7 linked regions of the Oryzias latipes genome follow. The protein of the gene in region 3 interacts with the protein of the main gene of each other region in a pairwise test. Links are inferred from orthologs where the notes say so. Each region holds a gene or a part of one and is shown on either strand. Other genes may lie near its edges.

Region 1 (3,559 bases), on a different chromosome or scaffold from region 3:
AAAGCTAAATTAAATTATTTCAGGTGTGCGGAGATACTTGATCTATTTTTAATTAGCCTTCTGGGATTGTCTGAAATGAAGATCATCACCAACGTCTGTGAACTTTGGCGGATTTTAAACGAGCCGGTGTCAGAAAATAGTTTAAGGCTGTATCTAAGTTGTGTATTAAAATGCACCTTTAAAACTCTATAATGTATTTGTTGCTGCTCTCCTTGAAAAAAGGCCTGAAAATGCGGTTGTTTGCTGTTCTCCTTCTGTCCACTAGGCGGCACTGGTGTCACGCAGCAGCACGCTTTGCGGCGTTTCTGGATGGAACTCTAAACAAGTGGCACAAACACTTTCAGCCTCATAAAACTTCACTTGTTTTCTGTCTGTTTGAGCCACGCGAGTATGTGGTTTGATTTCGCACTGCGTTTGATTCCAACTTCACCTCACAATAATCCCAGTCTGGCCGTTTCTTGATCCAGGACTAATTGAAGCGCAGGTGAAGGCCGCGTTTTGATTCCCACTAATTGGCTGACACACTTGTTGGAACTCCTATGAATGTGTAGATCTTTTGTGCGAACACACTTTCATCTTAAAATATTCCTCACCTTTCATTCGGTCCCTGTCTCGTGTCTCCGGTGCGCGTACCACGCCACAAAGACCCATGCGTAACTGCAGCGCTGGCACTGTGGAAGTGGAAGTGGAGTTGGGGTCTTTGTCCGGACAGATGTAGCGACAACATCCCAAACAAAACGCGCTTATTTGTGCTAAGATGAGGCCGTCTGCCTTCTGTGTGTGTTGGCATTCAACTTCACCTAAACAAAAGGACTGGGGGAAACATCTTGGATTACCTTTTCTCTTTTCAAGGCTAAAAAACGAGCCGTGGACACCCCCCCCCTCTCCACCTTCTTTTACGCACACATTCACCCCACAGCTCTGCTGTTCAGAGCTTTCAGTGAGTTAACTCACAAAGTTTCTTTGCGTGTTATGTTATTGGGCCATTAAGTAGGGTTGATTAAGTGGCTTTTTCATTTGGTCTGGATATGCCTCATATTTCATCTAAAAAACAATTTAGAATAAAAATAAATCTGTTCTTTTTTAAAAGAAATAGTGTCATGTTGCTTCAATATGTCTAATTTAATTTTAAAAACGTATTCAAAAAGTAGTCTTTTTTTTTTACTTGTACTTATTAACTTTTTACATTTTGAGCTTTTAAAAGTTACAAAAAAGTAATTTCTGATTTTGAAAATGCTGCATCTCTGCGTCGTATAAACTTCCACCTAAAAGGTGTAACGTATTCACAAAGCGCTATCAAACATAGAAATTCCCACAAGCAAGATGAAATAGTAAATATGTACTTAGTATTGTCTGATATGGGCAGCAGGAGCCGGAGTGTACGCCTGTGCCTCGCTGCGCTCCAGACTCCGCCCTTTTCCGACCACACGCTCTCCCATTGGCGCGCGGGGCTCGCTCTGATTGGTCAGGCCGAAGCCATTTATTCACTGACAGCCCCTTCACATGAATGGTTGTCTATTAACTTGTTCAAAAACTATCTGGAGTTGTCAAGGCTCAGGCGGACTGAGGCGAAAAAGTACAGTTTGTTGATGCTTTTTGCGAGCAGCCGCGGGAGAAGTTTTGTGGACACAACATTGCCGGGACGTGTTGGGAGAAGGCTCTCTGTCACACACACTCACACACACACGGTGTGACACGCTGAGTGGGAGTGAGAGGGGGAGAGTGTGCGGAGACGCGCGGCTTGATGCTCGTTGTTTTTGTCCAGAGAAAAGTTGCATAGAAAATCGGCAGGTAACTGAAAGCGCTCGTGCGCTCCTCTGTCTGCGCTCAGCTTCTGGAGAGAAGCTCCTTTTTTTTCTTTTTTCTTTTTTTTCTTGTCTTTTTTTTCTGCTCGGGAGCTCCCAGCGAAAAGTTAAAATTTTCCCTGATGTATAACATGATGGAGACTGAACTGAAGCCCCCTGCTCCCCAGACCAACACGGGGGGCACGGGGAACACAAACACGTCCGGCACCGGCACCAACCAGAAAAACAGCCCGGAGAGAGTCAAAAGACCCATGAACGCCTTCATGGTGTGGTCCCGAGGCCAGAGGAGGAAGATGGCGCAAGAAAACCCCAAAATGCACAACTCGGAGATAAGCAAGAGGCTGGGCGCAGAGTGGAAACTTCTGTCAGAGAGCGAGAAGAGACCTTTCATCGACGAGGCTAAGAGGCTGAGGGCCCTGCACATGAAGGAGCACCCGGATTACAAATACCGGCCCCGGCGGAAAACCAAGACCCTCATGAAGAAGGACAAATACACCTTACCGGGCGGGTTGCTGGCTCCTGGAGGAAACGGTATGGGGACCGGGGTCGGTGTCGGGGTAGGGGCCGGCCTGGGCGGTGGGGTTAACCAGCGGATGGACAGTTACGCGGCGCACATGAACGGCTGGACCAACGGGGGCTATGGCATGATGCAGGACCAGCTGAGCTACCAGCACGCAGGTCTGAACGCGCACAACCCGAGCCAGATGCAGCCCATGCACCGCTACGACATGAGCGCCCTGCAGTACAACTCCATGACCAGCTCCCAGAGCTACATGAACGGCTCCCCGACGTACTCCATGTCCTACTCCCAGCAAACCACGCCGGGTATGACCGCCCTGGGCTCCATGGGGCCCTCCTCGGTGGTGAAGTCCGAGTCCAGCAGCTCCAGCCCGCCCGTCGTCACCTCCTCGTCTCACCGGGCCGCCCCGGGCTGCCAAAGCGGTGATCTGAGGGACATGATCAGCATGTACCTGCCCGGGGCGGAGGTCAGCGAGCAGACTGCCCAGACCAGGCTACACATGTCCGGCCACTACCAGAGCACCGTGCCCGGGACGACGATCAACGGCACGCTGCCGTTAACACACATGTAAGGGACAGAGCGCAGGAGGGGGGCAAAAGCAGACTTTTATAAAAGCTACTGTGGACTACTTAATGTTGGACTATTTTTGTACAGAAAAAAAATGGGTGAGAAAAAGTTGTATAGAAATCTTCAAGAAAAAAAGGGACTTTTTTTTCTTTCCTTTTATCCTAAGGAAGCATAGAGGAACGGTAGATCCCCTCTTCACTGTTGGATGAAGTTTGGAAGACTAGAAAGTGGGAGTCGCAATCAAATGTTTTATTATTGCAATCACCTTTTGTACAGTATTTATCAAAGAAACATTACAATCAGATGAAATTGTTTGTTAATCTGCAAGAGGTTGCATTTTTATTTTCCTTTTTTAATTATTATATATATATATATATATAAAGCTGGTTCTGCAGAGAACATTAAAAGTGAAAAATAGCAGAACAAGAGTAATGGAAGTGATCAGTTATGCTTCCAATTAAAACATTGGAATAAAAAGGGACAAAAGATGCAGGTATTTTTTTTTTTCATTTAAGGTCTATATTACTAAACATTTTTTATTTCATTAAAAATGTAAGACACTTCTTTTTTTGTCATACAATATCAATTTTAGATTGTTAATTTATATTTCCGTCTCCCACTTTTCAGCTGTTAGCGGTATGACGCTTGTGCTCATTATTTTCTAATT
Region 2 (4,094 bases), on a different chromosome or scaffold from region 3:
CTGGATTCAAGTTGGGCTTCAGCACACCCCGCCTATACCCTGGATCCTTTACACAAGGACGTGCACCCTTTCTGGGTGGGAGAGGCAGGCGGCTTGAATCTTGGGAAGCCCATTTTCCATCTCTTGTTCCGTTTGGTTGCTGCTGCATAGCTTCAAGACAAGCGGGCAGCTCCAGTTTATCCGCCTTTTCTAATCTTTTCTTTTTTAACTCATCCAACGTCCTCACAGATCCACCCACCGACAGCTGCCCCTCACAGCCAGGTGCTAGACAGCCACTTTTCCAAGTGTATCAATGTTCTATATAAAAGGAGAAAACTAATCAATAAACGGTGCAAAATGTCTTTAATTTTACTTTAAATATCCTTCCTATGCCAACTCAGAGCTACAGAAATACTTTTATTCTTTTTTTTTCTATTCTTATAAGTTAAAACAACAAAAAAGGAGGTAGTTCTTTAACTTGAAATGTTGGCATCATTAGTGGTTCAAAATATGGTTGTTTTTTAAGGTCTTTTTTAATTTTAGTAATTTAGCACTATATTCTATTTTAAACTTTAGGAGGATATTGGGAATCTCTGCCTCTTGTAATGCTTCATGTTTGCTGAAGAACAACCAAAATTGTGTTTTTCTTGTATTACTATACTTTAATAAAATCAAATATAGTCAAAAGGTTTTGTTTTTGCTTTATTTTTTAAGCACCATCAGAAATAACATCTCCTCTCTGAGTGGAAAAGGCCCTGCGTATTCATCTGTATATAAAGAGTGGCATGAAATCAGCAGAAACGTCATGTTTTCCCAGCATTCCCTCCTTGTTCTCCAGTGTTTGTTTCTGCTATGGCTTATGAGCATCAGCTGATTAACTCAAAAGCCCTTAACTTCATCGACTACGTTTGAAGCGAGCGTCGGCTAAATTGTATCGTCAAGGAGTCAGATGTTAAGCCGGCATCATCGCTGGGGAGACTTTTTGATTTCCAACCAAAGGCAAGATCAGAAAAGGTGGAGACTGAAGGGTGAAAACTGAAATAACAAAAGAAAAAGTTACAAAAAGATGTTCACCTAAAATACTTTAGATTTTCTATCATAATGGCCTCACAGGTGAATTGCATTGTGGGAGACTATCAATAATATGTAACAATTAATTTTGATGAATTATATTGTTTGTTTCTTTTTCTATTATAAAAATAGGTCTGTTTATCATATTGTTATGTATTTCAATTAAAATATATATATATATATATATATATATATATATATTAATTACTATTTATAGTTGTCCAACAAACCTTACATTTGTGGTTAGAGGGATTGATTTGGAAGTGAAAATAAATGTTTGTCAGAATAAATTCTAAGGATCCTTTTCTCTCCTCAAGAGGACTTTAGCCATGTAGGAAACTCATTTTGGCATTGTTGCGAGCTGACGACAACAGACACAGTATTCGCTTTGATTTTGTCACCGAGCAAGGAATGGGAGTGCGGTTCAAGACTACTGAGGCCCGTCCCTTAATTTCCTTGCCTTTATTTGCCCCCCTCCCTCTTTTTTTTTGACAAAGCCCAGCTCCATTCCTCTCACTTGACTCTTTCTACTCCACACCCGTAACCCCCAATGTGCAGACATGAGGTCAAGCTCCAAAGATCACAGAGAGAAGCCAGACAAGAGACAGGAAGACAGAGACCTAAAATCCTCCTATCCTCCCAAAACCAGGCCAAGACCTCAAGCCTTCCCACCAGCTCCAGACCCCCCCTCCCTTTTCTTCAGCCTTGCTGTGTGTAGAGGAGACAGTGGGCACTCTTGCAGAAACACCAGCCCAGGGAAATTCAAATGAGGGGGAAAAAAATGGTAAGGGAGACAGAGATGGGAGGACAATAGTGAGAAAATGGGATAAAAGAAAGATGGGAGAGTGTGGAGGTGGGGGGGGAGGGGGCTGCTGAGGCTGCAGGTTAAGATAATGTAGATCTAAAGAGATTTGCAGGAAACATTTTTATTCCTTTTCTGATTACCCCCCCCCCCCCCCCACACACACACACACACACACACATACACCTCCCACGCACTCCCGCTTTCCCGTTTGTTTGTCTGTTCTCGGCATAAGTGTTACGACTGTTGGTATCCGTGTGTATTTACACATGCATGCTGATTAGAAATTGAATATTTTATAAGCACCACCCCACACACACATATTAATACATAATGCACACAGGCATACTTAAAGATGCATCAGGGAGGAGAGCAACCAGGAAACAGACAGTGCCAGGAATGCTAAAATGTACAAATTTCAAAGCACAGCTGGTCCACAAACATACAGGTTTTTTAACCACGTAGACAACATGGCCTGCTCCTAATCATTTTGATGTGTGTAAACTGAGGGGCATGGTACAAGTCATTACTAAAGGTGTCCATCCTTCAAATCCTTCTTGTGAAAATGCACCAAAAAACTAACAAATTATAAATATTTTCTAGTAAGTTTTCCTGCTGACACATAAGAACAAACGCTCACCTGTGCTGCTGTCAGAAGCCCCTTCAAGGTGAAGCGAGATGGACTGGTCCTCGTCCCGCTTTCCTTGACCCAGAATCATCCAGTTCTCCAGATCCTCAGAATCTGATGAATCGGAGGAATCCGATGTGGTTTCGGACTCTGAACTGCTGCACAATACGGCCACTGGCACGGCAGGACTTCTGCTCCTCGTCTTGGTTTGCTGGGTGATCAGACAGTAAACATTTTTCAGCTTACACTGCTGCAGGTCAGCCTGTCCAACAAAGAGCAGCAAAATCTGCCATTCCACAAACCAGAATAACCCCCTTTATCGTGTAAAAAAAAAACGTAAAATACGCGACATGCTAAAACAGGAACGAGGGGGCGTTTTTGGAGAGATCAAACTTACACAGATGCCCTGAGAGTGACACAAGAAAACTTGCTCAACCCAGTCATTTCATTGGAAAAACCAGCATCCAAGAATTCACAGGTATTTGCTTTGACACACATTACCCACTTCATTTTTCTAGTGCTTACTGTGCTTGAGCTTTTCACTTTCAACAGATTCACTTAAGCTGATAAAAGGCTAAAAAGGGGAAACTGCTACTGGTTTTAGTCTTTAAGGAAAATCTGAAATGGTTGACGGTTAAATTTCCAGTTATCAAGTCCTGGAGTTTCTGTTTAAGGCCCCAATGAAAACCTTTAAAAGACCCACTCTATTGAAAATGGCGTTTTTGGTGTCTTTCAAACGTTTTTGTCATTTTTTTCATGAAGGAGGACATGCATAGAGAAAATTAAGTTAGAAATTGCGTTTCTAAGTATTTCTTTATTCAAATTGTGGTGAATCAAACAAAAAAAAGTCTGAAAAAGCCTGTTGCTGTGACGTAGACGCTACAATCGGCGGGCCACAAGCTCCTTGCTCTGCTCCATTGCGATGCATCTATTTGTAGACGACTAGATTCAAAGGTCGTCTTAGTTTTCCTCGTCTGAGCCGACATCTGGCTCAAAACTGTACAGCTGGAAAGCTCAGATGCTGCTTGCCATCTTTGTTGGACCACATATGTTAGCTTGGGCCTATGAGGGGCTGTAAGATAGCGGGAGAGCGTGTCAACTATTACAGTTGTGCCTAACTTTAAAAAAAACAAACAAAAAAAAAACAGCACACTTTTTTTCTGCATCCTGCTTGGCCGGAAACCTTGTCAATCAATCTCCTTTTTTCCCCTGTACAGATACATGCAGCTCTCCAAGTCCACATAAATCTTCCATGAAGATCAGATCTTTATTTTCATTCTCTAAGACTGGACTTATTTTTCTACAAATGTTTGAACTTCGAGAGTTTAAACAAGAGAGAAAAGTCTGAAAATGTTCATGTCTTTTTGAGAAAAAGGGTATAAAGTGTGTAGTGAGGGGTTTTACAGCCCTAAAGCATCTGTGAACCTACCTTGTGGGTTTCACCCATTGTGGGTTATATTTTTAGAAACGTACCCCCCATAATAAATGATGGAACACTAGTTTATTTCTGATTCAGGGTATATTACAGTCTCGTCTACCTGTTGTGCTGGAGTGGAAGTCTGTTGTTTGGGTAAAGCTCCGCCTTTCGAGGAACAGACTCCATCAAAATCCTCA
Region 3 (4,419 bases):
TTCAAAGTTCTGTGCAAAGAACGGTTCCACCTCGGTCGGTTCTGCAGCTGAAGTTTAGGGGAGATGAAGGGGAGGGGGGGCAACGGGTTCTGCTTTATTGATCCAACACTCGACTTGGCGACCCGGAGAAAAGAAGGACCCAACCTCATCTGAGAGTGGAATAGATCAACAGGAAATGGACCTGCTCCCTCGTTTAGCCCCGCCCCCCTTCATTTGGACAGACGCTTTGGTCCGTTCCAGGAAAACAACTTTTTTTGTTTTGAATAGATGGAAAGATCAGAAGCATGCCGCTCTGGTATGCTTCTGATCGGTTTCTTTTTACGGTTTCTGTAACCGCACTTACCCAGAATGCCATCTGACATATTTCCTCTATGAGACAATTTTAAAAAACATTTTGGGGAGGAAGAAGCTCCTAAAAACCATTTTCCTGCAAAAGCACATCATTCCAGCAAGGTTGATAAAATAAAAATTTAAAACACGAAAGCGAAATGGTTGCCGGTAAAAATCTTAGAGTGTCCTCCGACGGCAGAGCCACAGGTTCGAGTCCTCGGTCTGTCCGCCTCCCCGACCGCACACATGGAAGCCCTGATTGAGTCCTTTTGCTTTTTTGATTCAGATGGTTTGAAACTTAACAGAAATACATACATACATACAAAACCAAATGATAAAAAACATGAATAAAAGGGGAAAAAAAAGAAGAAAAAAAAACATCAGAAATTGTGGCTTTAATGATTCCAAAGTCCGCCGGTCTGTTCTTGATAAACTTCGATGACGTCCTCATCCTCCATGCCCAGCTATAAAAAAACAGAAGAAAACACAAACCTTAGTGACCACTAGTGCTTGGTTTTCGCTCTTGCGAGTGTCGCTTACCTCTTTTGGGGTTTGGTTATCTGCGATTCTCTGTCCCTCAAAAAGAAACCGTAGCGTGCTCGCCAGGACTCCCTGAAAGAAACGTCATCCTCTGCTGTTAGACCATTAGGAGATTTTTATTTTTCCTTCAATCAGCTCTCCTTGAACGCCGCCGCGAGGCGCTAGGAGCACGAGTAACGATTACATAGACGAGCTTTTAGGTGTAACCCTTATGCTATCTTAGATGACCCCACCCTTACATTGACGTGTTCTCCCTACCATGACAAAAGTGGAAAGATTTCATGTAATCCATGGACACCAGTGAAGATCACAAATCATTGAAGAAGAAAGGTTAAGCGCACTGTCTAGTGGGTCTAGATGACCCAACTCCTAATGTTAAAGGGCCTAGGATAGCACAAGGGTTAAAGAAAATTAAGCTTAAAATTACATTTAAAATTGGGTTATTTTTTTTTTATATTTAAAATCGTTGTGAATCAGGAGCAGACAAAATTAAACTTAGTTGGAAAAAGGTTGCAGGTATGATTCCAAAGCTACTACGGCAAGCCACAAGGCTCCCTTGCAGACAAATAGACTCGTGTAACTTTTTTTTATTTTCCTCGTCCGAGCATCCGGATCCAAACTGTGCAGCTGGATAGCTCCGATATTGCTCGCCATTTTTGTTGCACTGCTAATATTAGCTTGGGAGTCTTAGTAAGCTAGCGGGAGAGCGTGTCAAAAAAATAAATAAAAATCACTAGGAACTTTTTATTTTTTGCAATAGATCAAAAGATGATCAGAGTTATCTTTTTTTTAAATAATGGCGTGTTCTACCATAAGGAACTGCATTTGGATGGATCTGCGAAGGCTGTCATTGGAAAAGTGGCGATGCGTCTTCCTCTTCATACCTGTCTCTGGCTGTAAGACTCTTTCAGCTTCTTTAGATGTGTGGTCATTTTCACCTTGAAGTGGATTTCACTGCTGTCCTGTGGGCAGAAACGGACACACACAAAAAGGTGATGCAGCTCAAAAACAATAACAACTTCCAGCATTAAAACGAATACATCTGTAAATGATAAAGAATTGGCAGAATCATTGACCAAAAATAATAGCCTTCTATAAACAATAATAGAGACACCACCACGTGCCATAACTTTATTTGAAATGGAGTAGAATACGGTTTATTTCTAAATGCAGACAGTAGTGACAACAAAAGCAGAGACACAAAAACAACCTACCTGACCGATCACTTTTAGTTTGATGTACTCTCCATCTTTCTTGTCGCCTCCGTCCTGATTGGAAGGTTTCGTCTCCTGACAGAAACATCACAAAACATTGCTACATGATGCGACCGCTAGCACGCTTTCGAGGAAGGCCCGTCTGTTTACTCCGCGGGTTCCACGAACACAGAGAACATCCACCATAGACACGAGTGTGGGTTCGGTCCCGCCAGCACCAGTTCTGACCCCCCCCCCAAAAAAAAATCTCAAAAAACTACACAAAAGCTCACGTGGAGGGTAAAAAAAAATCGCTAAGTTCAGTCAGAGGCCTGCAGCTAGAACAGCTAACGGTTAGCATGTTGTTAGATAATCACGTACGAGGCAGCGTCCATAACAAACACATTATCGATTTCTTAGTAAAGTGTTGACAGAAAATCATTCGAACTCTTCAACGTTCTTTTTCTTACCGTGTCTGACATGTTTATCCTGACTGTGTGCGGGAGGGGGAGGGAATCCCTTCAAGGTGTAGCGTTAGCTTTTAGCGGTGGCTCTTGCTTTATGTTGTGAGGAATGCGACATCAAACGGAAGTGACGCAGGGCTGTTCAAAATAAAAGTCGCGTGAAGGAATTTGTTTTGTAGCGGATTGTCTCCATAAGAAAAGCGCGCGCGCGCACACACACACACACACTCATACAAAAACCTTGCCTTTTCCAGTATTATGAAGTCTTTACTCCTGTTCAATATTCAAATGCAATATATATGTTTAGATTAAATTTATATATTTTTAACATGGGCTTAAAAAATAGCATTTTATGATAATTTAATAAATAACTATATATATATAGAGAGAGAGAGAGAGAGAGAGAGAGAGAGAGAGAGAGAGAGAGAGAGAGAGAGAGAGAGAGAGAGAGAGAGAGGATGAAACAGTCGACAGCCGACAGTGTGCTCAGTGAATGTCTCAGGCAATGGAGAGCAGAGGATACAGTGCTGGAGGACAGATCCTCATGGGAAGACAAACCCCTGCATGGGACGTACCACCGGACCATAACTGAAGTGGCTGATATCAAGAAGTCCTACCAATGGCTAGAGAGGGCTGGCCTACAGGACAGCACTGATGCGCTCCTCCTGGCAGCTCAGGAACAAGCCCTGAGCACCAGAGCAATAGAGGCTCAGATCTACCACACCAGACAAGACCCAAGGTGTAGGCTGTGCAAATAAGCGCCTGAAACAATCCAGCACATAACTGCAGGGTGTAAGATGCTGGCAGGGAAAGCATACATGGAGCACCACAATCAAGCAGCTGGAATAATATACAGGAACATGTGTGCAGAATATGGACTGGAAACCCCAAGGTCAAAATGGGAAACACCTCCGAAGGTGGTAGAGAATGAGAGGGCAAAAATCCTGTGGGACTTCCAGATCCAGACTGATAGGATGGTAATGGCGAACCAACCAGACATTGTAGTGGTGGATAAAGAACAGAGGAAAGCCGTTGTGGTGGATGTGGCAGTGCCAAGCGATGGGAACATCAGGAAGAAGGAACATGAGAAACTGGAGAAATACCAGGGACTCAGAGAAGAACTGGAGAAAGCATGGAAAGTGAATGTGACAGTGGTGCCTGTGGTAATTGGAGCACTCGGGGCAGTAACCCCCAAGCTGGAGGAGTGGCTACAACAGATCCCTGGAAAGACCTCAGACCTCTCAGTCCAGAAAAGCGCAGTGCTAGGAACAGCTAAGATACTGCAGGACCCTCAAGCTCCCAGGCCTCTGGTAGAGGACCCGAGCTTGGAGGAGAAACCACCCGCGGAGGGTGAGAGAGGCGTTTTTTAAATGTATATATAGTTTTCGTGTTTGTTTTTATATTATTTATTTATTTTGTATTGGTGCAAAGCACGTTCGGTTGTGCTTTTGTAGGAAAAGAGCTATATAAATAAAGTTTGATTTGATGTAATCTTCAATATTCTAACTTTGAAGAATCATAGTTTATTAGAGACTTTTCACATGTTGATAATTAATATAATGTCAATTAAAATACTCTTGTTGTTTTAGATTTTTACAAGGCATTTTTAAGCCCCCCCCCCCCCCCATCACTCTGGAATGGCAGAGTTTATAGTAGACATTCTTTAAAAAAAAACAAAACAAATTTAGAAGTCGAGGATCCCACATCTATTGAAGTTTGTTTAAATGCAGTCTTAATTCCGTTGAGGTTTTGTCAAAGTAAAATAAATAAGCCAATGTTTATTAGGAAACCCACTTTAAGCTTTTACTTTTGTAGGTGCACTGAAGTACTTCCGGTTATAAGGAATTGTGTTTTCTCATGAAGCTTGATTTAACTCCAGGGTCAACGGCGAG
Region 4 (4,636 bases), on a different chromosome or scaffold from region 3:
GTTCAATTCACACCAAATACAATGAAATGCCTGAAAGAAAGTGACTATTCACACGTAATTTTCCAAATACGTGCAGCCAGTGCTGAAACTTTTTTCTTGGCCGCACGGACCCAGAGGAAGGGTTAAGTTTAGGAGCATGTCTTATGGATAGGGCAATGCTGTGTTCACACCGAACGCGAGTGGCGCGGCAGAGGCAGCCAGTTTTCAAAGTTAATTACATGGTAGAGACGCGTGCTGAGGTCCAGTGGTGTGATTTAAGCGACGGGTGTGGTGCAAAGGTCTGGCAGCAGCGCGATTTCAGCGGCGCTGTGCAATTTGATACCCGTCCGAACCAAATCACCAAACAGTACTACTGTCCTACACCTGGCTGTGGATCCTGCCTCTGGCTCGTCTCTGCTCTGCACCTGACCGTGTACCTCGTCTCTGCTCCTGCCCTGACACCTGGCTCTGGATCCTGTCTCCTGCTCGACTCTCGCCCCTTACTGTCCCCCCAACTCCGTCTGGATAAAGCTCGTCTGCTGGACTTTAAATATGTAGTTGTAGAGTTAGATAAGTTAATTCTTCTCTAAGAGTTCTGGTAAATCGCCTGTCCGTCCTGGGGGAGGATCCCTCCTTCATGGAGGCACCCCTGAGGTTTCTTCGTTTTTTCCGGAGTCCGTTTTTTTTAGGAGTTTTTCCTTACCGTGAAAGGGGTTTAAGGGCAGGGATGCCAGTATAGCTTAGTCAGTTTGTTAGTTCATTTTAGAATTTTCCTATTGAACTCTTTGTATTCATGATCCTTTTGAGTTCATGTTTCACTTTTTCAATTACCGATACTAAGCCCATCGAGACGACTGTTGTTGTGAATTTGGGCTATACAAATAAAATTGAATTGAATTGAACAGTACCTGTAACGGTTATGCTGGGCGAAGGTGTGTACACCCTGGACAGTCTGTCCCAGGAGGTGAGACGTCATGTCATTGACTAAAAGCGTTAGCAATGTCTATAAGATCAATACCAAATCCAGTATTAGTTCTAATTAGATCTGTCAGCTTTAATGGTAATTTGAATGTTTAAGCATTGTTTTCTAAAACCTTTTGGAAGTATGTGTGTGTATGTGTCTGTAAAGTTTTGTAAGGGACATGCTTATGTTGGTGGAGCAGGTTAGAGAAAAAAAGCCAAATTGTTTTCCCATTATTATGATAATTAAGGAAATACAAGTGATAAGTTTAAACAAAGTAAATATATATTGTTGATGCTGATGATGAATAAATTCTACAGTTTAGCTGAAAGTGTTATATAAAGTAAATTCAGATATTATTTAATTCCGTCAAGCATATTATTTTACAACACTGACATCTTTTCAGTAGATAAATTAAACTTGTATGTCAGACTGAATAAAAAGTGCTGTATGAAACACACAAACTGGGTTGCAAAATATGTTTACCTGAAGAGTCAGATCAAAACCACCAAAAAACAAAAATTAAGTATAAAAATAAAGGGCAAAAAAAAAATTCTACTGTAGACCAGAGGGACTATTTTACTGATGACTCCCCAAAACATTAGGATACAACAGAAGTAGTACTGCCTTATAAATTTACACAAACAATTAGAAACATACCTTTATTTTCATCTTCTGTTAAATCTCTTAATCCAGGGACGGATTTGGTGTCAGCCTCGTTTTCTTTACTGTCAGTAGCACTGAGAACTCGAGCCAGAGCCCGTGACAAAGGGGCAGTTTGGCTGGTTTTAGCAGACACATTTATTTCACTTTCCACTGCCACAGATAGACTTCTCTGGACCTGCAAAAGAAGTGATATCAGTTTAATTACACACACTTGAGTCCTCATTTTGGTCCCTAGTAATCCCTGCAACTAAATTTACATGAGGCAAAAAAATATGACTGTCAAACCGCTGAACGTGGATATTTCTTTGCTTCTAGTGATTTAGAAAAGCTGATTTACTGTGGTGACCCCTGAAGGGATATGCCAAAAGGTAAACTGCAAAAGCTACTCAAAAAAAGAGAAATTAGTAAAATTGAGAATTAAACACAGTGAATAGGAACTTACTTTATCCAATGCATTCACCAAACCCGGTTTGGGGGCCAAAGGCTTTGATTCAGTTTGAAGTAGTGAAGCTGGTGAAACAAATCGTGTTTTTTTCACTGCATTCCCCAAAAGCTGACTGGGTGCTCCTGAACGCCTCATTCCTTATAAAAGGTCAATGTGCCCCCTACAAACAGAAATAAACTACATTTTAGAAACACAATGGGGAAAACATAGGCAATTTTTCAATAGCTACACCTTTGAAATTCTTAAAGAAAAAAGAGGTATAGAAGAAAAAAAGTGATCTAAAACAGGCATGCTTTACCAAGAAAGACTAGTGATTTTTTTTAGTTTTTGCATTTAGAATACCTTAACCGACTAAAGATTTCTACGTTTTAGCAACTCAGGATCAGAAAATGTGTTTCTATTAACGCAATATAAATATAAACTCTTCAACAAACAGTTTTGAAACTTTTTTGTTGACTCTAGTGACAATTTATGTATTTTGTCCTTTATCAGGTTCCGTTTGTCGTTTTTGATTTTTACTTTTAGACTAGTTTGAAGTAAGTAAAGTCAGCGACAGGCTGTGTTTAACTGTTATCACGTGGTCAAGTCGAAAGTTTAAATCGGCCGTAATGATATTTTGTAACAATGCGTGATACATACCACCGACGAGAAAATGTTATTTTGGAGAATTACTTAAATATCGTCCAATTCAACTTGATAAGTTTCCCACAGTGTAAGCGGAAAAGGCAACTTCCGAAACATGTCTCCCGCTGAATTATTTGGGGGTTCTGATTGGTTAAAAGTCAACAAAAGGCGTGGTCAAATGAGAAAAAAGCATGTTTGATTTGAACACCTGGACAGCCAAATCCTTTCAGCATGCCTAAACCTCTTTTTTCAGACTTTATTGACAAATAACACAATAGAACAAAATAGTGAACGTCTCAGGGGTTACTGAATATGTACATTGCAGAAAGAAAACAAAACAAAAAAAAAAATTATGTATACGTACAAATACGTATACAGTGTATGAAATTAAAAAAAAAAAATCAAATCAGTTCGAATTGCCTTTTGGTTTTGCAGTTGTTTGATAATGTTACAGTACTGATTGATTTCATTCAAAAAATGCTGGAATTTAGGTTTGGAGTTGGACCATTTGGCTTAATTAATATGGAATTTTGCAAATGATGAAAACATCTATGTAATAAAGATACAATCTTTGTCTACATTGTCATTAAGATAACCCGGAATAATTTCTTTATCCAAAAATTGTACAGTTTCTTTTAGTTAAATTTTCTATATAATTTTCCACTTCCATCTACAACATATTTGTATGTATGCAGTCCACAAACAGGTGATAAATGGTTTCCTCTTTCAACAACAAATCAACAAATCTTCTTTTTTTGGCAGGATATATACAATGCGATATTTTGAAGGACACCTCTTTTATTTTGTTATTTAAACAACATTTTTTACTAACATTCCAAGCATTAGTCCAGTTTATGTCCACACATTTTGAGTAGCTCTCCTAAACGTATTTCAGATCTTTTCTGTGGTCCATGACAGCAGCAAATCGAGCATAGAGGTGTACATTTAACAAAATAATAATTTTAGTGAAAAGTAATGACTAAATCTGAACAAATATTAATTGAACCGTTTGTTGGTGGAATTAAAAGCAGCTTTTTTTTAGTGAATAGTCACTATTTTTAATATTTCCAACTCTATTTTGTTTAGAAAATCTGGAAAGTTTAACTTCATTTAGTTGTGAAGTCTTTGGTTTACTTCATACCATTTTAGAAAGGTCTTTTTACTACTTTCTTTTCGACTTTATTCCATTACACTCAAGGACAGGGGTAATAAGTATGGGCAGTGAAGGTGATCTTTTGATTCCTGTTGTCATGTGCTACGTGCTATCCGATGGTGTGTACTTTGCAATCCAATCAGGGACGAAAAGAGTGTAATCCACGATAATCCCACAGCTCTAGACAAACAGAGAAACCTCAGATAACTTTCGCCGTTAAGGGGAGCAGCTATTATCTCTAAGGGCTGTGTAACAACTGGGCTTTAGACAGTTCGTGAAACACTTGACTGCTTTTTTGTCTGTCCCTCTGCTCTTGTCCGACAGCTGCCTGCCTGGCTGTATCCTGCACCATTGTTGTCAGAGTTAGCTCTCCATAGAAACGCTCTCCCAGAGGAAGAGGAGGAGCAGGAGACCCTCTGCTTCAGGATGAAGGAGAGCCTCTACAGTGTGATCAAATAGATTGAGCAGGTGCAGGTGAAGTCTACAAGATACAGGAGGAGCTGGATGAAGTCAAATCCTCAGGTAAGAGAGATTAAAAGCAAATAAGTAGAAAAACAAGTAAACTGCACAGGAAATGTAACAACCTCTGTGCAACCTGTTTGATCCTCTATAGGATGGGTTATGATCTAGAGAGGTTTGTAGGCTACGTGAATGAAGGTCTGCTGTGCTGTGTGTGCCGAGATGTGCTTGAACGCCCCCTTCAGGCACCCTGTGAACATGCCTACTGCAGCTCCTGCATCAGCAGCTGGCTGCTTCATCACCACACCTGTCCAGAAGACAGACTGCCATTAGATGTGAGCAACCTCAA
Region 5 (4,806 bases), on a different chromosome or scaffold from region 3:
GAGGGACACTGGCAAAGGTTAAAACAGCTAAACATCCCCCCCTCTGTGGCTCTCACCCCGACCTCCCAGCAGCTACAGCCCTCAGCATCCCTCGATTCAGCTGCAAACACAACGCCTTTCTTTTCCACTTCCGCCTACCACAACTCCTCACAAGTCAAGCAGCACATTTCTTCCGTCCGAGCAAAACACCCCTTAATGCTAAGACAACATCTCCCTGCTCCCGTAATCACACACACAAGACACTTGCAGGTATTTTAACATGCTACCATTGGGTGTAATTGGAGAAATGTAGGATTTTGCAGACTGCTGAAGTTGGTGACAAAAGTGACTTCTTCCTTTATTAGATTTGGAGGAAAATGCAGAAAATGAAAACCGCACTCAGGAAATAAGCAGGTTTTGCATTATCCACCAAGTTCCTAAAAATCACATGAACTAGTCTGAAAATACTCTTCCATGCAGGACTATCTCTCCTACAAGAAAAAAAACCCCATTCAAAATGAGCTGCACATGCTTTTCAATACCAAACACAAGGCCCTGCTGAGATTATTCACCACACAAATGATTTTCCAGGGAATAAACACTAATAAGTGTCATATTCATTTTTGTTCGTTTTTATGGGGAAAAATATATCATCCTTGTGTATGGGTTATTAACAAATTCAAGTGATCCTTCTAAAAAACGTACATATATATAATAATATATATATATATACAATCCCCTTCTGCCGGTAAACACACAGCAAAAAATAAGAAAATGCAAAAATGGAATGAGTGTTACCGAACTGCAGAATTGGCCGTTTACTTTGATGACGCAACACACAAATTAATCGTTTTCCTTTTTCTTTATCAATTGTATAAATTTTCCAGAACCAAACTGAGAACAAATATGTTTTAAAAATGTTTTGAATTTCAGACTTTGAGATCCTCAGATTGCAGAGTTGCAGGGATTTGGACCCGCAAGGGGACTTTTTCCAAACACTGCTTTTCATTCAAGGTGCAAAGCGACACTTTGATAACAAAGCATTCACAGTAGATTTTTTTTTCTCGCCTCTGTTAAGGCTCTGGAAAGTTTTAAGGCCTGAACTTGCGCGTGCAAAATACAGAAAGATTTGTTATTTTAATACAATAAAAAACACAATCTACAAAATTAAATACAAACGATTTTTATTATAACCAGAAAGTTGTTCTCTACTCGTATTTGCGTGTGTTTAAAGTGATTAAGTTATTTCTGCTTCTTCTATCTGTGCAAAAAGGATGAGTAACGGAACCATTGAGGATTTGTAAAAAAGCTGCAAGTTCTTTCGCGCACTTTGGAGCCACTTTTTACCAAACACAGGACAAAAAAAGCACAAATGTGCATATTTACGCACGGATGTGCTGATAAAAATGATATAAGGTAAACGGGATTGCGACAGCTTTGGATTGATCAGCGCAGCGCCGAACTGAAACACGCGGAAGAGGGGGTTATGTGTCCGGGACGCAGCACCATTTGGAGTCCCGCTGGCGCGACTGGGTGGTCCGTGTCCGCGCATCGAGACTGACCACTGTAGAGGGGCCCACGAAAACTCCACCAACAGTGAGTTTTCAGCGTATGTCTTACTTTTGTTTAAGATTTAAGTGTTAAGATTATAATATTTACTTAAGAAAAGTTCGGAAACTTTAGAAACGCGTGGAGAGCGTCGGTGAGTTTTACAAAAGCTGATTTTTTCTGTTTTAAGTGAAAAACGTTGTGTAATAATTTTAATACAAAATAGGAAATATGATAAAAAAACGTCTTTTTAAATTTTATTTTGCAATCAAAGAAACTCCATAAACGAAACTTTTGTTAAAAATCGTAAAGAAAAATAATTGAAAGGAGATTAATTAAAAAAAGGAGAGTAAAGTTAAACTTTGAAAACTATTAACTTTAACCAGGAACGCTTGCACAAAAACCAAGCTAAAAGTGTGAGAAATAGCCGGCGCTTCTCCAGAAGGAGCGATAGTTTGCGTGGACTCACCATTGTGCTCTGATAAAGGCAGATGAGGGTCGGATTGGAAGTGTTGCGGCTTCGCTTGTTTCCTCCGCGACATGCTGGCTGGCACATCAGCAGGCAAAGAATAAAAAAATGACTACAAAACCTCCTGAAAAATTACGTAAATCGAGCCCATCCACCGCGCATGTGCCCCGTTATGATTATCAATAATGCTCTACGATTAATCATAAGGGAGGGAGGGGGGGTTCTTTGAAAGGCGATTGGCACCTCGCCAGCCCCCCTCCTATTCAAATGAAGTCTCTTTAATCAATTAGCTCCTGATTTGCTGGGGACTCTTGTCTCTCTCTCAGCTCCCACCCAATGAGTTGATCCGTACGGGGAAGAAAGGCTGGCTTTTCCACACTCCCTTTAGATACGGTTTAACCCCTTCTGTTAGCCAAGCCAAAGCTTATCTTGACTACAGGGGAATGTCAGCTTCTTGAGTCCATTCTTGCAAGAGTATCTCTCAAGCTCTCACACTGATCAAGCGCCGATCTCAGCTTTTTTCTTTGCTCTTTTCCTTTCCCGCAGATGAAGAGCGCTGCGCAAACCTCCGCGATCTCCAACCAACTTTCTTCTCTCTGCTCTCGAAGTGTCCGCCCTCTGCTCTCGCATTAAGATTGTTGTAATTCGGCTCTTGTTGTGCTGAACACCTACTCTGTGAAGAGTTTCGAGCGCGGCTGCCGGCGCATGGAAACGCAGCGTCGCGCGGGCATGGTCCGTGCGTAAATGGCACCGGCGGAACGCGTTTCCAGTAATGAAACAAAAAAAAAAAGTCCACGCTGTGATTTGGCGTCCAAACAACTTTCATATGATTATTATTGGCAGAAAGGGAGTTACTTACTAACACGTTTTCATCACACACCGCATTCCGCGAATAAACAAACTTTGAGGGCCCGTGCGGCAGTGGGACAACGCGGAGCCCCGCCCACTGTAGACGTGATTGGTCAATGGGCTATTCAGTCACGCTGTTTTTCACCTCCACCCATCTCAACCACACCCCTTCCTCTCAAAATCCTCTCTCTCTTTCTGAAAGCGCGCAGCAGAACCAAACGTGCTGCGCGCGTCTGGATGATCGGTGGGGGAGACAGCAAAGATTCCAGTCTGTGCGTCCGGATGGGAACAAATAGCGCGTTCACTTAGTTTCCAAAACATTTCCTTGTTAGAGAAACCCTGAAACGCACCCAAAGGTTCAAACTTATCTGCATTTGTCTTTTTCTAAGTGCAAAACTTGTGTTTACCGAGGCCATCTGGGTTCTGTGACCAGGAGAATCAACAGTCGCGACATTTCTTTAAAATAAAATAAAAATACACGGTTCACTGATTTGTCTGAAATGTCGCTCTGTTGTTTATGTTTTCTTTAGGTTAGAAAAATAACTACAATTGCATTCGATATTTCAAAATGACAATTTATATTATTATTTATACCAACGAAAATACGCCTTAGTTGTGATGTTTTAAGAGGGTAAAAGGTCCCGCAGGAGCTTCACGTGGCTGGTGTCGATTTATCACCCGAAAAAGACAAACGAAGCTCTCAGTCGCCCTGATTTTGAGAAATGAAGATAATAATGTTACTATAGGTGATGTCTTGGACGCCATTATTTTTCACTAAATATTTAAAGAGCAGCTGCAGGCTAGATGGATCTGGTCCACTCCCGTGTCAGCTATCTTTTAGTTTCGACTAGTCTCACTATTTACTTATTCATCACAAAAGACGGAAAAAAGAACGTGCAGAGGAAAATCAAACAGAACCTCTGATGTCACTGAGTGATCATATATATATATATATATATATATATATATATATATATATATATATATATATATATATATATATATATATATATATATATATATATATATATATATATATATATATATATATATATATATATATATATATATATATATATATATATAAGACTGCAGAGAGGGGAAAATCAATTTCCAGTTAATTGATGTGAGTGTTGGTGTGAGATTGTAAACAAGCTGATTTGCAGCCCAGCCGAGCGGTGGACGTTTTAAATAGGATTCACCCGCGACGACGACGGTACAGTGTTACCAAACGGGCTGAATGACAAGGATGCATAGAGCTTGGGGTCCCTCTGGACGCAACACAAACTTTTTCACTAGAAATGCATTACAATAAGTTTTTGTGTTTTTAGGCAAACTGCGAAAAATAATCAAACGTCTTTTTCACAATATTTAAAAATATTTATTTTTCGTTTTTTAATATAATGTAAAGTGAATAAATGTTCAAAATCAAAGAAGTTGAATAAAATAAATGCATTCCCCCAGTTGATGTTCGGCAAAACATTTTTTTAAGTGACTGAAGGCGGTCTGACGCACAAAAACTGCGCATCTGCCTGTTACGCGCAATCAATATCGCGTGCACCGCATCAGACAGGGCCTGGCCCGCGTGGCATCATTCACTATTATCTCTGACACGTCATGATTGATCATAAAGCCCACAAACTGCGCGCGTTTAAGCGCATAATGCGGCAGTAAACGCGGAGGATCGCGCGCACCGGAGCCGTTCCTCCCGCAGAGCCTCCCTGTCCGTTCAACACGTGGTGGCTTTTCCTCCGCGGCCCCTGATGCTACGCAGAGAGAATCCCCAACTAGCGGAATAGGGCCTTCATCTGGGTCAGCTGCGCGTGTGAGCGTGCACAGTGTGATAACAGGAGCAGCAAGAGAGAAGAGGCAAAGCCATCAGGAGGATGCAGTCTCATCACAGACATGAATGAGACTCGTTTGCATCAAAAGCTGCTGGTCTTTATTGCACTCCGTCATTT
Region 6 (4,785 bases), on a different chromosome or scaffold from region 3:
TCTGCGGTAGAACTCGGCGGAGGTGTCCCGAGAGCGGCCGCCGTCTCGAACGTTGCGAACCCTGACACCCTGTCTGTACAGCTCCCTTCGGAAATTTACCATCTCTTGCTCTCTGACATTGTTCACCGTCCTGCCTTCGCTCTCGGCTCTCCTTCTGGCTGCCAACCGCGCCATCATGCGCCGAATGTAGCGATCTTGCCGCTGAAAGGGAGGATGCGCCGAAGCTTCAAACATCACCCCGTTATCCGGAGGCGGAGAGGTTCTTCCTCGCATCTGCCGATGGACACCGGTAAGAGTGGTGCGGTACCTGAACCTCACTCCCTCGAAATACCCAAAAGAGGAGTTCTCCACTTGCTGCTTCAGTTCATACTTTTGAAAGTCTTGCTCGGATTTTATACTGTGATAGATTGTATTGAACGGCTGTTTGCAGAGTGGACACTCGGCTTTGTTCTTGGACCACTCAAGAATGCAGCGAAAGCAGAACTTGTGCAGGCAACGATCCAAGTAAGAAACGTTGTGAAAACCGTCCAAACAGATGGGACACTTGGAGTCGGGAGACACTTCCACAGACATCGCTTCAGAGGTTTTTCTCCTGCCGTTTTTCTGAGCGTGCTGCAGGGCGACCTTGACAGCCGACATGATCTGGAAAAAAAATGAAGAAAAAAAATTCAAATAGAGGTCAACCTTATAAAATTTCTTATGATCTTATCAGTATAGTCCTTTTTTTATTTATGCAGGGGAATTTAAGAGGAGACTTAAACACATTTTGAAAAAAGATGTGAAATCACTAAATGCTGAAAACATTCACTTGGCTTCATGCAGAGACTACTAGTCAAGAAATTGGCAGTGAACAAATTAAATCTAAATAAAGCATTTGCTTTTGTTTTTTATGCACAAGTTAACATTTGTTAGCATGTGTGCTCACATAGTTTCTCAGTTTTCAATCTTAGGGATGACTAAGGCTGAGTATCACTGCAAAAAAACTAAATGAATCACTAAATCATTTTCGAAGAAAAGTTCAATTCAATCATTTTGGTTTTGTTAAACTTAGTCCTAAAAATATTGAGCAAACAGATTAGAGCTGAAGTCCTTTTGTGTTGGACAGGTTTTACTATCACAAAAAGAGGGCCTAGATGAATCAGGGTGTCTAAAGTAAAAGTAAAAGTGGAATGGAATGGAGGGTAGGCGCCGATGCGACCCCAGAGAGAGTCACCCCCAGTAAGCCCCGCCAGCATGTCCCACCCATCCAGTTTCTGGAGCCCTATGTGCCTGTGTGCAACGTTTGTTTGGGTGGGAGCGGGGATGAGCAGGCGGATGGGCACAACCAGGGGAAGAAGGCTCCCCCAGCCGGCCGCGGTAGGCGCCCCCCCTCCCAGGGCAGCCAGGCAGTCAGGAGGCGGCAAGCCAGCCGCAGACAAGGGCCAAAGCCGTGACAGCGCCGAGAGACAGTCAGCAAGGAAGGGGCCCGTGCCAACCCAGAGGGGCAGGAGGTCCAGCCCCTCCATTCATGCCCTGACTTCCCTAATGGACTAGCACCCCCCCCACACACACACACACCTAAAAAGAAAATAAATAAATGGAGAACTAAAAATAGATAAAAATAAAAAAATGAATAATAATAAAATAAATAAAGTAAAATAAAGAAATACATTCAAAAGAAAGTAATAATAATAATTTTAAAAGAAAAAATTTAACATTTTCTTGTTTATTTTTAAACTAATCAAATGTAAGTTTGAAGGGCTAATTTGGAAAAGTAATTAATATTAATTCATACCTAAACATGATCTTCTGAAACTAAATGGAGCTGGTTTAGGAATCTGGCTCTAGCTCTAAGTAAAATAGGGATTGGTACAGAAATCTTAAACTTACAAGTTTGACATCACAATTAATGAAGTAATATGCAGTGCAGTTTGGATCACTTTGGGTCTGGCATGAATTTGAGGGGAAATGTAACACTCATTGGGCTGAACAGAAATCCTGAGCTGTCAATTTTATGCTTTAAGTATTAGATGTAGACATATAACACTTAATTCCTTTCTTCTCCCGCAGCCTTGTACTTATACTCTTGTTTACTTTTGAACTTTTGAACATCCAACAACATATGGTGCATAGATCACAGATATGGACAACACCTTTACATATACAGTGACAAAGCCCAATTAGCATTTTTACTCAACATACAATCCAAATATATGATATTATTTACATTTATTTGGTAAAGAATGAAAAACACTAGTGTCTAGGCTTACATGAGAAACGTGAGGCAGGTTTCTCATGCAAGGTTGTCCTGGTCATGCTAAATGTAGTGACATCACACTAGTTGTTGGAACGCTTAATGGTAAAAGATGTGTGTTGTTTTCTTTATCAACACGGTTTTTAACTAATATTAAATTACCCAAAGCCTCAAATACTTTCACTGACCTTCTGTTTCTATCGTATGTATAGTTAAAATAAACATAGAGAATGAGTCTACTGTACGTGTTATAACATGGCAGCCTTTCATAATCGTCATCGCCATACTTTAACACTGTCCCCCGAAATATGATTATCTGAGTCTATTCTTTTCTCCAATTGAAAGAGCGTCAGGATAAAGAGCTTTTCGCACTCTATCAAATATTTCGTCAAATGTCGTTTTGTAATTTGTAACGTTCGTGTTTTGTTTGTCTGATTCTGTTTAAGCTAATAGCCTGATTTCTTGTCTTGAGCAGCTAATGACATCAAAACCCAAGTATAGGCTTGACACAAACATATAAGCCTCTCCAATATTTCTAGACTTATTTTTTACAAACACATAAACAGTAAGTATAATATAATAAGGGGATACATTCCCCAATAAAACTTAGCAGGCTAGCTAAGTTGGCTAGCACACACAGCGGCTAAAGTTTAGCCAGCAGAGCTAACAAAACAACCACACATCGGTTCAGTAAGTTCATAAAAAAGGTGTCGAGTTTACCTTCGACTTCGTTGAAGCCGTGTGCCACAGGATATGGGTTAAACCTCTAGTCTGGTAGAAACACAGTCAATTTAAAAAAAAATAAAAAGTAAACGGTCGTATTAACCCTTCCTTCCTCAGACTTCATTACGGAAGCTATTAATAGTCGGTACAGGTTTCCGATTTTCAAAATAAAATGTCAACAAGTCCAAACACAGGAAATTATAGCTTGACTGTAGACAGGAACTTTGTTTACATTTTTATGTTCGTAGGAAATGGCCAAAAAATTGAAAACATTAACAGTTTTCCAATAATGCATTACTGCCCATTATTGGCCTATAAGTGCACGTCTAACTTTAAACGATCTAATGAAAAGAGTACCATTCCCCATTAAAAGAAAATTAAAGACCCCAAAATCCTGTTTTTGGGGTTTATAACATCTTCCTGTAGCATTTTTCTCACAATGGAGGACATGCATATGAAAATTAAGATCAAAATTGCATTTGGGAGTATTTGTTTATTCAAATCGTCTTGAGTTCGTTAGATGAAAAACTGCTGTTGGAAAAATCTTATAACGCTGACGTAGGTGCTACAGTTGACAGGTCCACAATTTCCCTGCTACCCTTCATTCTAAAACATCCACTAGCTGACAAATAGATCCATGATCGTCTTCGTTTTCCTCGTCTGAGATGGCATCTGCATTATAAGTGTATAACTGGCTCCAGTTGTGAGCTGTAAGCTAGTGGGGGAGAGAGAGAGTAAAGAAAGGGATGATGGGAAATGAGTGAAGGCTTACTCCACGCCAACAGTTCCGTCCACAACTCAGAGGTGAATTTCTGATGAACTACTGCTGCTCTGCAGAAACTGTCCTAGAAAACTGTAGTTTTTTAACTTTTGCCTAAAAACTGCTTTCTCATAACTGAAAGACCACTGGAAATGCTTTTACAATAGATCAAAAAATGATGGGAGTGGGAGATTAATGCATTGGTCATAAATCACAACACAAAATCTAAATCTATCTTCTAATGTCCTTGTTTCCCATGATTGTTAACAGTTACTGTATAAGAATTAGATGATTATATCTGCAAACTGACTTTATCCTAAGAAAAGTTTAAATCTTTCTGTCACTAATATCACCATGAGTAATATTCTGACCTTAATGCTGCAAAACCTAATGCATCAAGTTGCATTATGCTGCATTTCTATGTTCTTTAATAAATGACAATTAATTGAAATATAATCTTTTTTTGTAGAAATAATTTCACTAGAAACCAGTGAAGTTATATTTTTAGCCTTTATTGACACTTTGATGGAATTTACATAGTTTTTACAACAGAAATTTAAGAAAATGACTGAAATAGTTCTGATTTTAATGATGGCTATGAGTCTCTGGGAGATCTGGAACAACTTCCCCGGTCTCCAGAATGGTGTCACCCTGAACAGAAAAAAGGTTGATTATATACATATATTTTATGATGAATACAATAACCACAAACAGAAAGCCAAAAATGAAGACAACTTACAGGAAACAGTCTGGGTTTTAGTTCCACAATGCCGTAGGGCTTTTGCTGGAAAACAAAGCATTCATAATTAGCATGTGCTGTCAGGTGTACGGCTCTGATCATTTAACTGAAGTGAACATCTAAACAAAATGCACAACAGACACAATACTGTATCTATGGAAAATTCTAAAAAGTTTGACAATACTGTAGAAACACTTGTGACTGACTGATACGCATTAATAACATAATGTACATATTTAGAAAACACTATCCATATTTTGAGAATGATTTATTAAAAATTGACTGCAGTAAAATTGAAGATGCTGCTGATGACACACAAGGACATGTGTG
Region 7 (4,564 bases), on a different chromosome or scaffold from region 3:
TACAAGAAAGTAAATCTACGCTACAGGATTCCAAATGTTGACTTATGCTGGTGTGTTAGAAGTAAAATAGTAGCCTAAAAATAAATCTATATTTTTGAACAGTACATAATGTGAGTAGCTTTTTAAAGATGTCGCTAAAATTGGAAGAATTCACAGTTGATTTGGCGTTTACAACAAAATGAAAGACTTACACCAGAGTGCAGATTGATTAAAAAAATAAACATAAAATACAAGCACATGCCTCACAAAATGCACAAAACTACACAAAAATGATTAAAAAAAACTAAAAACTAAGATTTGTTTTAAAAATGGACGCATTCCGTTACTTACACTATGGGTCTATTAGTGGATGGAACCTGGGTAATAACAGAGCTAGATGTTGGCGATGGGAGAGCTGGCTGTATTACAACATTAGCGTCCGTGGTTGCTAGAAGTACATTGGGAACTTGGAGGGATGCAGGATGGACTATAGTGGATGTTGGCAGTGAGGCAGGCTGCAAAGTTAAGTCCTGAAAACATCATACAAGACCTTAGCTGCAGAAATGTTTAGTGAACACCAGCTTAGTTAGTTACAAGAACTTTTTGCAAATATTTTTTTGGTTGGTTTTAGGATTTCCAAATCAAAATTAAGAGCAGTGTTTGAATAAAAAAAAAAAAGAGAGTGGGGTTTGAAAATAAAAAACAAATAAATCGAAGAATTCAAGCAGGTGAAAGAAGAAGTACAATTTCTATAGTAAATGAATGATTACAGAAACAGGAGGATTCTTAATTATTCATGTTTAATAGCACTCCTAAAACCCATTAGAGAGCTAACTAAACAGAAAAAAATCTACCTTGTCATCGTTTGTGGTGGACTCAGGATGAGGAAGGGGGCTGTTCCGATGTGCATCTACAGCTGCGGGTTCCTCAGTTTTGTTGCGTATGACTGGTGTAGCAAGAGGTGACAAATCCAGAGGTAGCTTTGGGAAGGTTAAAAGAAAAAGAAAAAAAGCAGATATAAACTCTGGACTTCAGAGATCATCCTAAGAGAAGATTTGACAGAAGTTACAGAACAAACTCAACCTTCTTCAAGTCATCTTCAGCTGCTTTTTTGAAGTCATGGTCAAAAGGACTGGCAAGTTCGTTGAAAAGCCCGACTTCCTCGCAGTTTTTCAAAAAGCGAGTGGGTGTCGGCGTTTGATCTGTAATAGAGAAAAGAAAAGATAAAAGAAGAAAAAAATCACACTTAAGGAGGCAAAAACACACAAACATCTATAGACATAAAACTTAAGAAGGACTCACCAGCAATTATGATATTGTCGGTCCTCGCTGGGCCAAACTTTAGTGTCATCTCGTGTTTGTGTCTGTGGACAGCCAAGTGGTCTTCATTTGTAAATCTCTGAGCAAGGTAAAAAGGAAATAAATGAATAAAAAAACAACTTTATTCTGCATATCCTTTGAGAGACAACAATGACTCACAATGTTAAATATGTTAAAATACTAACAATTTCAAAAAGTAAACGGTGCATTGCTAAAATCCAAAGAAATCAAACCCTAAATAAACATAAACATAGGCTTAATGTGTGTTTTTATGTTTATTGTGACTGTGCGCGTACATTTACCACAATAATTACATATTTTTACCCTTTAGCCAACTTTACTTTGGCACTAGAAATTAAACAGTTGATGTGACTTCAAAAAAGAGATGCTTTTTATTATTTGACCCTTTTGTGAATCCTCAAATTGGATGCAGACTCAGGCTTTTATTAACTCCAGTGATTCTGTTTTTAAGTGGATTTATCTGTACCACAAATAATCACAAATCCTTCAAACAGTAACTTCAGCTTTTAAAATGTCTGATAAGAATGCACAAACTACGTTTTTTAGTTGAATTATTCGATATTATCAGCAAAGATAGCAAATGTATGTAAAATGTACACATTGAGTACCCAAATATTTGGTTACCATATTTGATGCATATATATATATATATATATATATATATATATATATATTAAAGTTAGTCTCTGGAGAAATACAACTACCGTATCTCAAAACATGTAATATTATAATACCTTCAACGTTTTTAAATAATCTAGAATGTAAAGATGTAAGCTCAACAACTCCACCATATAAATTTACAACACATTGGAATTGGTTTTTTTCCTTCTATTTTTCAAAAAATAAAAATAACTGAATCACTAACTAAAAAGAAATAAAAACTATGAAGAACTATGTCAGCTTACCTGTCCACATCCTGGAGCAGTACACTGGAAGGGTTTGTCATCACTCATATTAAGAAATTCTTGCTATATTTTTGTCCTACAATAAATGAATAAAAACAACATATTTCATCTCAATTAACTTAATTTCCATTTAAAACAGAAATAAATTCAACAGCCACAGAAAAGACAACCACGTAATCGTGGCTGATCAAAAGGAGGGTTAGAGGGTTAATTTTTAGATAATAGTAGAAATGACTCGAGACTCGAGTGGGACTGTTAAGGGCAAATCTAGTGAAAGGACAAATAAGATTTTGGACAAAGCCAGTGAGGAGGTGGGGTTGCTCTGTCTGTGCTTATTTATTAGCTCGGTGATGCAGTGCAGGGTCGTTCGGTGTGTGGTCGTTCGGATTGTGTATTTTTCAACACGAACAAAGAAATTATGCATGTTTTTTGTTGGAAAAAAAAGTTTCACGTTTAATTCCGACTAAAGTCATCACACAACAAAAGCTACATTATGATCCGATCCTCCGCTCCAGCCTGAGCTGAGATAACGCACAGCCGTCGCCATGTTAGAACCAACAAATCACTAAACAGATAACCTTTTGGTATTTAATTTGAGGGGGATTAATTTCACTTGGAAGAAAATAACACCGATTTCAGATAAAGGGTGCCCTTTTTTGCATTTGTAATAAAACTCGCTTTCAATTTGAGTTGTTACTTACCCCTTTAGCCACAAACGTTGTTTTCCCAAACCCCAAAGTATCGCGAGAAAACAATTTCTTCTTCCGTAAACGTCACACTAACCCAAACGCCGTAAACATACTAATGGACACTAATAAACCCATTTACCCATAAATTTACCCATTTACCCATAAATTCAATATTTTATAAATAATTGCCATCATTTCTACTGCATTACAACTTTATTTACAGTCTACGGAACCACCTCAAGTTAACATTCCTTTTTTACTCAAAGGCCAAATTTCTTTAAAACAATTCAATTTAGAGAAACATTATCGTGTACTCTATATTAAATTAAATCACAAGGAACTATTTTTGATTGAAGCAGTAAACAAACCACATGGGTAATTTATATTACAAAAAAAAAAAAACATTTGGTCAACTTTGTTGCCAAATATTACTAATTTACTGACTTCCAAATGACAATTACTTTTTAACTGAGAATTTTGTTCTGATGGACCGTTTTAGTGGCAACTCATTCATTTGACAAACCTCGAAACCCTGTTGGGGTCGGGAAATAAATTCAAAAACCCAAATTATAATTCAATCTAGATTTATTCAACGTGATTTACAAAAGCAAGTAATCACTTGTTGCCTCTTACAGTTCTACTTAACTGCAACTGAGTTAAGTGCTTATGACGGTGGACCCCATATAACTCTCAGAAAGCAAGTTGATTCACAAGGGGAGAAGATGTTCTGACATTTGTGAGAGCAAACTGCTTTCAGTTACCATGATATTCCAGACATAGACGTTGCTGCCACTGATAAATACTCAAATGCATGTATTAAATTCACGCACATTGTTATGTTTGTACATGTTTTGTTTAATTTTGACTGTGTCGGAAAGACTTGAAAAATTTACATTTCCATGACACCAACACTGAACAATTTTAGAAGCCACAATAAAATATGTAGTCACATCTGTAATGAAAGTGTTGGGAGGGCAGTGCTTTACATTGCAAACAGGATCAGAAAAGCAACCATCAAACAGAATAGTCCCATAGCTTCAGACAGGGCGAAACCCAGGATGGCATATGAGAACAGCTGCTGCTTCAAAGATGGGTTCCTGCAAACAAAAAGAAGTCAATAAATGTAAAGAAAACATTTGAATTGTACCCCAAAAAAACATGTACACAGTGACCAAATGGCAACAAACCTGGCATAGCCAATAATGAGACTACCGAACACTGTTCCAATTCCAGCACCAGATCCAGCGACTCCGACTGTAGCGGCTCCAGCACCAATGAACTTGGCGGCGGTGTCAATGTCCCTGCTGATGGCACTGGTCTGGAAGCCTCTCAGTGTGACCTGTGTGAGGGGGCTTTGTGGCATCACAGCAACAGAGCTCTGCAGCGAAAGACAAAAAATGAAAACATTCACTTCAAAGAAACACCACAGACAGGCATGGGAAATACAGTTACTGTTAAAAAAACACCACAAGTAGTCAATAATACAAAAGTGTTTATAAACTTTGTTTATCCTTACCTCTGTTTTGCCATCAGGCCTGGAGAGCACAGAGGCAGACATGGGTCTGTAAAGAGCCCGGGAACCAGCACGGACCTGCGGATCAACAAAAAAGAAAAGGATCAGTTTAGTTAGGTTGGAAGTTTTGTGTTTTA

Evidence for each region.
Region 1: the proteins of sumo1 (region 3) and sox2 interact in binary tests that used the Homo sapiens proteins (3 or more experiments, as listed by UniProt). The two-hybrid records come from large-scale screens. The link is inferred for Oryzias latipes from reciprocal best matches to the Homo sapiens genes SUMO1 and SOX2.
Region 2: the proteins of sumo1 (region 3) and zcchc7 interact in binary tests that used the Homo sapiens proteins (3 or more experiments, as listed by UniProt). The link is inferred for Oryzias latipes from reciprocal best matches to the Homo sapiens genes SUMO1 and ZCCHC7.
Region 4: the proteins of sumo1 (region 3) and rad54b interact in a two-hybrid assay, tested with the Homo sapiens proteins (2 studies listed by BioGRID and IntAct). The two-hybrid records come from large-scale screens. The link is inferred for Oryzias latipes from reciprocal best matches to the Homo sapiens genes SUMO1 and RAD54B.
Region 5: the proteins of sumo1 (region 3) and sall1 interact in a two-hybrid assay, tested with the Homo sapiens proteins (2 studies listed by BioGRID, with this or other methods). The link is inferred for Oryzias latipes from reciprocal best matches to the Homo sapiens genes SUMO1 and SALL1.
Region 6: the proteins of sumo1 (region 3) and topors interact in a two-hybrid assay, tested with the Homo sapiens proteins (2 studies listed by BioGRID). The link is inferred for Oryzias latipes from reciprocal best matches to the Homo sapiens genes SUMO1 and TOPORS.
Region 7: the proteins of sumo1 (region 3) and atf2 interact in binary tests that used the Homo sapiens proteins (3 or more experiments, as listed by UniProt). The two-hybrid records come from large-scale screens. The link is inferred for Oryzias latipes from reciprocal best matches to the Homo sapiens genes SUMO1 and ATF2.

What each region holds. Positions count from the first base shown.
Region 1 is NC_019862.2:18,600,868-18,604,426, reverse strand, and holds sox2 (transcription factor SOX-2), read left to right. Parts: upstream 1-1,927; coding exon 1,928-2,896; downstream 2,897-3,559. UniProt on the Homo sapiens protein: Transcription factor that forms a trimeric complex with OCT4 on DNA and controls the expression of a number of genes involved in embryonic development such as YES1, FGF4, UTF1 and ZFP206. Binds to the proximal enhancer region of NANOG.
Region 2 is NC_019859.2:12,787,742-12,791,835, reverse strand, and holds part of zcchc7 (zinc finger CCHC domain-containing protein 7), read right to left. Parts: coding exon 4,019-4,094; intron 2,692-4,018; coding exon 2,493-2,691; intron 1-2,492.
Region 3 is NC_019860.2:9,899,548-9,903,966, forward strand, and holds sumo1 (small ubiquitin-related modifier 1), read right to left. Parts: upstream 2,567-4,419; 5' UTR 2,546-2,566; coding exon 2,534-2,545; intron 2,160-2,533; coding exon 2,085-2,159; intron 1,833-2,084; coding exon 1,755-1,832; intron 943-1,754; coding exon 871-942; intron 795-870; coding exon 726-794; 3' UTR 705-725; downstream 1-704. UniProt on the Homo sapiens protein: Ubiquitin-like protein that can be covalently attached to proteins as a monomer or a lysine-linked polymer.
Region 4 is NC_019874.2:17,754,095-17,758,730, forward strand, and holds the start of rad54b (DNA repair and recombination protein RAD54B), read right to left. Parts: upstream 2,934-4,636; 5' UTR 2,691-2,933; intron 2,212-2,690; 5' UTR 2,187-2,211; coding exon 2,049-2,186; intron 1,782-2,048; coding exon 1,601-1,781; intron 523-1,600; exon of another isoform or gene 1-522. Other genes in the region: RING finger protein 151-like, read left to right, coding at 4,333-4,350, 4,533-4,636. UniProt on the Homo sapiens protein: Involved in DNA repair and mitotic recombination. May play an active role in recombination processes in concert with other members of the RAD52 epistasis group.
Region 5 is NC_019861.2:30,112,713-30,117,518, reverse strand, and holds the start of sall1 (sal-like protein 1), read right to left. Parts: upstream 2,897-4,806; 5' UTR 2,070-2,896; coding exon 1,997-2,069; intron 1-1,996. UniProt on the Homo sapiens protein: Transcriptional repressor involved in organogenesis. Plays an essential role in ureteric bud invasion during kidney development.
Region 6 is NC_019859.2:15,568,513-15,573,297, reverse strand, and holds the start of topors (E3 ubiquitin-protein ligase Topors), read right to left. Parts: upstream 3,104-4,785; 5' UTR 2,954-3,103; intron 643-2,953; 5' UTR 640-642; coding exon 1-639. Other genes in the region: ndufb6 (NADH dehydrogenase [ubiquinone] 1 beta subcomplex subunit 6), read right to left, coding at 4,302-4,367, 4,456-4,500. UniProt on the Homo sapiens protein: Functions as an E3 ubiquitin-protein ligase and as an E3 SUMO1-protein ligase. Probable tumor suppressor involved in cell growth, cell proliferation and apoptosis that regulates p53/TP53 stability through ubiquitin-dependent degradation.
Region 7 is NC_019879.2:22,381,562-22,386,125, forward strand, and holds the start of atf2 (cyclic AMP-dependent transcription factor ATF-2), read right to left. Parts: upstream 3,003-4,564; 5' UTR 2,927-3,002; intron 2,302-2,926; 5' UTR 2,274-2,301; coding exon 2,226-2,273; intron 1,379-2,225; coding exon 1,282-1,378; intron 1,182-1,281; coding exon 1,063-1,181; intron 960-1,062; coding exon 834-959; intron 510-833; coding exon 331-509; intron 1-330. Other genes in the region: atp5mc3 (ATP synthase F(0) complex subunit C3, mitochondrial), read right to left, coding at 3,897-4,011, 4,102-4,292, 4,431-4,505. UniProt on the Homo sapiens protein: Transcriptional activator which regulates the transcription of various genes, including those involved in anti-apoptosis, cell growth, and DNA damage response.